Linked DNA regions of Rattus norvegicus. The protein of the gene in region 1 purifies or fractionates together with the protein of each later gene. This does not show direct contact. Links are inferred from orthologs where the notes say so. Each region holds a gene or a part of one and is shown in the gene's direction. Other genes may lie near its edges. The genes, in order: Slamf1 and Ptpn11.

Region 1 (3,818 bases):
GGGATGTTTGTTACAGTAGAGGTTCTGGGTAAAGAGTGATATTCCACCCACAAGCAGTTCACCAAGCCCAGAGCCTGGGGGAGGCTTCCACCTACACGGTGAAAAAACACCTCTTTTCTCATTTGAACCAGGATCTGCTTATGTAGTTATTTACTTGTGGCCCTGTAGAACCTACATCTAGCTGAATCCAGCACCTTGTGAGCCTCTTTAACCTCTGCTCCTGTCCTTGAAGACACCTACAATTCCTATCCCTTAGGCTCTGAGCCTTGTCTGCTTTCCAAAGCTTCCTGACATCTGTGTGGGGCTTTCTTTCCAAAGGATGTCGTACATCACCAAGGATGGCAGAGGGAGCCCACAGCCAGCATTTTATCGAAAGCTGTAGCTTTCTAGGAGAAAAAGAGAAACATCTTTACTCTCTTCTGTCCCAGCACTTCCCTCCTGCAAACAGAGAGTGCAGAGTTCCCGTAACCCTCTGTTGAGTGTTCGTGGAGGCCGCACATCATGTTTTTTAAATAACATAAGTGTTATACAATCTGTCCTTTTGCTCTTATGAGTTCACTGATTTCGTCATACCTTATATAATCAGCTAGGTGTGTTGGGAAATGTGGTCTCTGCAGCCATTTTCTTTGAGGAGAGAGAGAGAGAGAGAGAGAGAGAGAGAGAGAGAGAGAGAGAGAGAGAGAGAGAGGCTGATTTCTGAATCAGACTAAGGTATTTATCTCAGCCTGGCCACTTAGAAGCTACATAGTCATTTAAGTCATACTGTTTCTCTGAAGACTCATTTTCTCATTTGCAAAATGGGAATGATTACTTTTAGTCATAATAGTTGAGAGAATGAAAGAAGATGGATATGAAACGCCAGCGATGTGCTGATCCTGTAGCAGCTGGATTAAACACAGACGTGACCTCCCTTTTACCTTGCCTATCTTGTGGCACTGGAATTGTCTGGTTGATAGGACCCGTAGCTAAGGTTTAAAACTTTACCCCTGCTTCAGACCCACAAAGTCCTTGCACCACCACCACCCACGTCCACAACACACGCACGCAGGCACACATGCGTACACATGTGCTCAATGAAAGCCTACCACTGAAAGTTCATGCTTTTAGCTCACAGTCTAGGATGTTGTACTCATAAGCCAGTCAACCTATCTTATTCCTGATAGAACAAGGCAGAGCAATCTAGACGGCAAGCATCAGGAGAGGCATGTAGCATCCTAACAGAAAGGAACCGTACGCCAACTGCTTCTCTGTTCTATCTGAAGAGGCTCCTGGAATGAGCAGGGTGGGGTGAGGGATGATATGAGTTACAGCTCCCTAGCAGAGACAACTCACACTCAAGGTTTCTCAGTGAGGGGAAAAATGACATCTGGCTAGACTTTCTCTTGACAAATAAGTCAACACTTCCGGGACCTTTGTTTCAGTGATGGCTCCCTTGTTCCTCCTCCTGACAGAACAGGTCTCCACTCCAGAGATTAAAGTGCTAAACAAAACCCAGGAGGAGAATGGGACCTGCCACTTGCTGCTAGCCTGCACGGTGAAGAGAGGGGATAATGTGTCTTACAGCTGGGGTGATGAGGCAGGTACCCGTCTGCCAAGCCAAGCCAACCGCTCCCACCTCCTGCACCTCATCCTTAGCAACCAGCATCAGGACAGCATCTACAACTGCACAGCGAGCAATCCTGTCAGCAGTCGCTCTCGGACCTTCAACCTATGGCAGCAATGCAGGCCAGAATCCTACTCAGGTGAGCACTCGGGGACCTCATCCATGGCAAATCCAATGCTAGCTAGGCCAAGAGCACTACTTCAACAGCCAATCCTTGCCCACAATATTTCACCTTTGCTTTATATTGCCAAAGTCTCCAGGTACATCTAGGTGCTTTCCGTGTTGGCCCCATTTGATTCACAGTTAAGGAAAAAGCAGGGAAGGAGGGAGGACCCAGAATCTGAGCCAGACTCAGGTCTCCAAGAGCAAGACTTTCTCTGTGCTTTCTGCCTTGAATCCAGTGTTCAAGGATATGTAGGAAAAAGATTTTGGGATGTAGGTCCTAGGTCCTAAATCCATGCTCCGTTAGGGTGAAACAGTTCTTTGCCATCTATAAATACACCCCACCCCCCAAATACTTCTCTACTTATGTTCTGGACCACCAATAAGTACTTAGGCTGCAAGATCAGGGAGTAGATACGATGTCTGATCTCTGCACCTCAACAATGCATTGTAAATATAAGATATGAGACATTTGCTCAGTAATGATGTGCAGGCTGTAAGGGAGGGGCTCGTGCTGTGAGTGGACTGTGAATCTTAGAGCCAGCTAGAGGACCAGAGGAATCAGCGTGATACTGGCAAGCTACTTTTAACTGTACCGTCTCTTTGGTTCACAATAAATTTGCCGAGCGGGTGCTACCACCAGCTTCATTTTACAGAGGAGGAACTTGAAGTTCACAGAAACTAAGCATCTCTCCAAGCTTCTTCAACTTCAGCTAGTGGAATCAATGCCTAAACTTAAATATTCTGAGTAGGTTTCTCCTTTCCGGGGTAGAAAGCCTCGTTGCTCTGTTGGAGGAGAATGCTGATTACGTAAGCTAATCTAACCACAAAGATACAGAACAGACCACTGCTCTCTCGTGCCAGGCTGTGTGTCTCTGTCACAGGACGGTTGAGGGAGAGCCCCAAAAGGCTTTTCTTATACCCTGACATTGGGCAAGAGTCATCTCAAGGAGACTCCAACCCAAGTAAATGTGGATTCTATGTGACACAGCAGACAGGTGGGGGCAGAGGAGAGGGGACTGTAACTACACTATGTCTTCAGCATAGCACTTCCTGTTACAGAGACCCCAGCCCCCAGAAGATTCTCAGATAGGAAACACCCCTGCTGTACCCCAGGATATTCCTTTGAGTTCTGTCACGAACCTAATGCAGCCATGTCATGGAAACAGTCAATCATCAACCCTCACAGCCATCCAATACTCTAGTGTGAACATCTTCGCACTATGAATGAAGTAAAGAGAATGAGAAAAACTATGAAAGGCTTGAGTAAGAGCTGAGCTGTCTGGTACCGAAACCCTTCCAGGTAGTCATGGAAGAGTGATTGCACTAGAACACCTCAGGAATCATGATGAAAAAAAGAACTAGTTGTTTTCCTTGGAGACAGGGAAAAATACCCATTGTGCCAGGCTAGCTCTCTTGGTAAAAGTCTGTTTAGGAACAGGGGAGCAAAAAATTTACACTAACCTGTCTAAAAATGGAGATGAGTTCCCCTCCCATGCTTCCAGATAGCTCAACAAGAATACAGCTAATGCATAATAAAACCTCCACACGCCGTAAAGTTTATGCTGAAGGGCATTTGGCTCAGGATATTCTAAGCTAACACTGAAGGTGATTTTACTCATTTAAGCTGTCCTGAGGAAGACTCATACACTTATGTATGTACGTAGGCATATATGTATGTATGTATGAGTGTATGTATGTATGAATATATGTATGAATGTATATATGAATGTGTGTATGAGCGAATGTATGTGTATGAATGTATGTATGAATGTATGTATGTATGTATGGATGTATGTATGAATTTATGTATGTATGAATGTATGTATGTATATATGAATGTGTGTATGAGTGAATGTGTGTATGAATGTATGAATGTATAATGAATGTATGTATGAATATATGATTGTATGTATGTATATATGAATGCATGTATGTATATATGAATGCATGTATGTATGTATGAATGTATGTATAATGAATGTATGTATGTATAATGAATGTGTGTATGTATGAATGTATGTGTATATGAATGTATGTATGTATGTATGTA
Region 2 (3,818 bases), on another chromosome or scaffold:
TTGGCCTGGGAGCACATCCATGAATGGTGCTCAGTGGTCCTTGCCACCTTGCATAGTGTGTCCATCTCTCCGCATCCAAGGGGACTTAGTCTTAGACATGAAGCCTGTAGGCTCTCCTGTCCCATGTATAAAGGGCTTGGCTTTGTAGAGAACCTACTCACTCCTCCTGTGGTCTTCATGTAGCCGGGCAGGCCTTGAACTTAGGGTGAGTGTGCGCGTGCTCAGTACAAATGCATTGTCAACGGATATTCAGTGCATGGAGAGCGGACTCGACAGGGCTCTTCTCTGCTCTCTACACGGGTGTGGCATGTGTGAGCGCTCACACCTCTCACACACGCAAGCACATGGTGGGATGAGATTACTTTCCTGTTGATTTGCTCTGCTGGTTTCCTTGCCCCACCATTTCATCTTCGGATGCGGAGGTCTTTTCTGAGGTATATAGGAGGTAGGTTGGAGGGTTGGGGGAGTGTCTCACTGGCTCAACACATGCCCAACATGGTACAAGGGCTCTGGGTGCCATCGCCAATATGCTAAATAAATAAAGTGCATTATTGTGCCTTCCACCCCTGCACACGGTGATTAGAGCTCGTGCAGTAGGAGGAAGGCCTCTGGTCTGCATCAGTGGGCAGTTCCTGCATCCCTCCGGCTTCTGGGTCTCCTAGGGATGTGTTCACAGCGCATTCCTCCTGCAGGTGCTGGGCCGGCCGGCCGGGAGCTCCTGACAGTTTGGTCAACATGTTAGTGTTCATAAGAGTCTAGTCTGTCCATCTGTCTGTCTCTCTCTCGTTTCCTTTGATGAAATAGCCTTCTATTCCTGTGTTTTTCTAAAAGTCGAGTCCACAGTCCTTCTTACTTGTATTTTTTCCCACTTTCAGAAAAGCAAAAGGAAAGGACATGAATATACCAATATTAAGTATTCCCTGGTGGACCAGACAAGTGGCGATCAGAGTCCCCTGCCACCTTGCACCCCAACGCCACCCTGTGCGGAGTAAGTATTGATGTTGGCGTTATAGCTCTGGTCAAAGCTTGCTGTCTGTATTCCTCTCTCATGCTTGCTTGCTACCCACTGATGGTACATGGGGCGGTCAGGCGCAGGGGATCTCTAGGGACTGTGGACGATGTCTCAGCAGGGTTTCCAGGCCCCTAACCAGGAGGCCTGTGCTGGGCCCTCCAGGACCCTGTGGGGCCCTAAGCATGCTAGGAAGGGTTCTCTGGGAAAATCGCGTTTTCCTTTTGCAGTTAGCATTATTTCAGAGGCAATGCTGTCCTTACAGTGTGTTCTGACTCTGAGTAAGAATAAGTAAGTTCTATATTTATGCGTGGACAGGACTATGATCTACCAATAAGAGTTTTTAAACCAAAGGTCAGAAAGCCAGAGCCTACAGGCCTAGCTTTGCTCTTGTAAAGGAGTTCTTCTTTCCGACAGACAGACAGACAGACAGACAGACAGACCCCTCAAAACCCAGCAAGGTGACAGTTGCACAGGGGCAGCCATCCTAGTGGGAGATGGCGGGCCATTACGAATGGGCATCCTGCAAAGGAAGCAGCAGGCGGCTTAGGGACAGGACACGGCGCAAAGCTCTTCCCACACACCACGCAGTGCCAGAAGGGGGTGCAGTGCTGCTGAAGACAGATTGTTTTTAAGGAGCGGCTGCTGCGTGGCGCTGCTTCAAGCTCATTGCTTCAGCCCACAGGGCAGCTTGCCCCAGACTGCAGCCAGAGCCGTAAGAGCACGCTGCCTGCTGACCTTGCAGCTTGGAGAATGAATACCTCTCCTGGAAGCACTCAGATCTCAGGGAAGGTTTTGTTCCAGAGGCATTCAACATGATGCCATCTTAATGGTTTGTGCATCTTTGACAGGAAACTGACATTTCCAGAGTGTGAGTTGAACTAGAGACACACCCAGAAGCAGAAAGGGCCCAGGCTCTGTCAGTCAGACCCCAAGAGGGACTGAACTTAGCTCCTGGTGCTCACTGGTTTTTCACTGACACAGCACTGTGAGAACTCACCAGTATGGTGGCTCGGAGAGCTCGGGTGGTACAGTATTGAACCAGCAGCGTGGCTGCGCCTGTCTACACGTCATCCTTGTGTCTGTTAGTCTGCTTATAGCTCTTGAGGTCAGTGTCCTTAGGCCACTTTGGGGTAAAACACCCCAGTCCTCTGAGCTGGTGCTTTGTAGCCGGCTACTGAAGACTCCCGGGAGAAGCAGGACTCCAGTAGAAACCACATTCACATTCCAGGAAACCCAGGTCCCTGCATTTTAAGTGACAGTTTCCAGGGGTGTTTGGCCAGGTTAGGATTGAAGTCTACTGTGACCTCTTTCCTTCACTCTGCTCCTCCTGTCACCCCAGTGCTTGATGTCTGTAAGAGCCCAGACTTACATGTCTCCACCCCTCATGCAACCTGGGAAAGGAAAACCCCAAGGCATAGCACACAGAGGGACTCTCTGGCCAGTAGAGTCATCACACGTTGGTTCTTTCCAGAAGGGCCTTGCAAGCTCTTGGGTTAAAGTAAAACACACAGGGCAGTATTTGTTAGCCAGTCACGTGGCTAGCAGCTGTGCTGTCTGTACCACAAGGTTGCTCTCTGCCCTAACATTTACTTTTACTTTCCCCTGGAATCCCACTTGTTTGCTTCTGCTGTGGGCTTTTAAAGCCCCGCTGACTTTAATATTGGCTCTACACAGCTCTGATAGATAGCAGATAGAGGCCTGTGTTTACATTCTCTCTCTGTTAAACACAGAAATGAAATCATGTGGGAAGGGTGTTCTCTCCTGAGTCACCTTCCCTCCTCCTGCTCTGTTCTGCCCCAGCAGGCTGACTGGTGATACTGGTGTCTTAAATCGATAGCTATAGTAACCTGCTGGGGAGCAGCACCTCACGCTACTCACACTACTGGGTGAGCACCCTTCCTACAAAGCTCACCAGTGACTGACAGGCAATCTGCCTTCGTGCTGTCCCATGAGGGATGCACACCTGAGATCCTAGGCCCCAGGGCTGCTCAGAGATCCTATCCTTTTGTCCCACACAGCTGGCTAATAGCCTTCTTTACAGAAGGAGACTAGGCCTTTGGGTGCTTTTAGTTCTTCATCCAAGGCTCTAAGGGTGACTGGAGCCCTCACTTGTGATGCCTCTGTGGAAATGGCCACAGTTCCTGTCTTTTGTGCACCTACTCCTTCACTGCCCTCCAAGCTGCCTTCCCTCCATTCACACTCTGGAAGACAGGACTCAGGGCCTCTGCTGATTTTCCAAATTCATAATAGTCTGTGTCTGATGTCCATTTTGAGAGCCAGCTCCTGGGTGAGAAGGGGTCAGTCTTGGCCTAGCTGGACATGGCAGTCAGGTAAGTGTCTTCCTTCTTGTGTGTCTACAGAATGCGGGAGGACAGCGCTCGAGTCTATGAGAACGTGGGCCTCATGCAGCAGCAGAGGAGTTTCAGATGAGCTTCGGGTGGCAGCGCGCAGGTATGACACCAGTCTCTCCCTGGGGCCGGCCACAGTGGTCCAGACAGGCAGGCGACTTGTTCGTGCCAGAGCAAGACGTCCTGTGATTGAGTCGTGCAAACCAGCCTTTCTCTTTGCCTTGCCCCTCTCCAGGCCGGGTTTGGTTTACAGTTCATTAAGTCAGATCAGTTAACTGCATGGGATGGAGCTGGCACAGCAGTTGACAGGGATGGAGTGGACTTGGGTGGTACATGCCCTGTTGTTTGTGACCTCTTGGCATCAACAGCAGGGATGCCTCTGAGGACGTGGGGTCCCAGGCTCCCCTGGCTTTTTTGATTTAGTCATTTCTCTGTGAGATGCCTCCCTGTCTTTTGTG

The links.
Region 2: the proteins of Slamf1 (region 1) and Ptpn11 purify together in Homo sapiens (affinity purification with western blotting; 3 studies listed by BioGRID and IntAct, with this or other methods). This does not show direct contact. The link is inferred for Rattus norvegicus from reciprocal best matches to the Homo sapiens genes SLAMF1 and PTPN11.

What each region holds. Positions count from the first base shown.
Region 1 is NC_086031.1:86,812,455-86,816,272, forward strand, and holds part of Slamf1 (signaling lymphocytic activation molecule precursor), read left to right. Parts: intron 1-620; exon of another isoform or gene 621-1,451; coding exon 1,452-1,742; exon of another isoform or gene 1,743-3,818.
Region 2 is NC_086030.1:41,077,981-41,081,798, forward strand, and holds part of Ptpn11 (tyrosine-protein phosphatase non-receptor type 11), read left to right. Parts: intron 1-875; coding exon 876-988; intron 989-3,372; coding exon 3,373-3,442; 3' UTR 3,443-3,463; intron 3,464-3,818. UniProt on the Homo sapiens protein: Acts downstream of various receptor and cytoplasmic protein tyrosine kinases to participate in the signal transduction from the cell surface to the nucleus. Positively regulates MAPK signal transduction pathway. Dephosphorylates GAB1, ARHGAP35 and EGFR.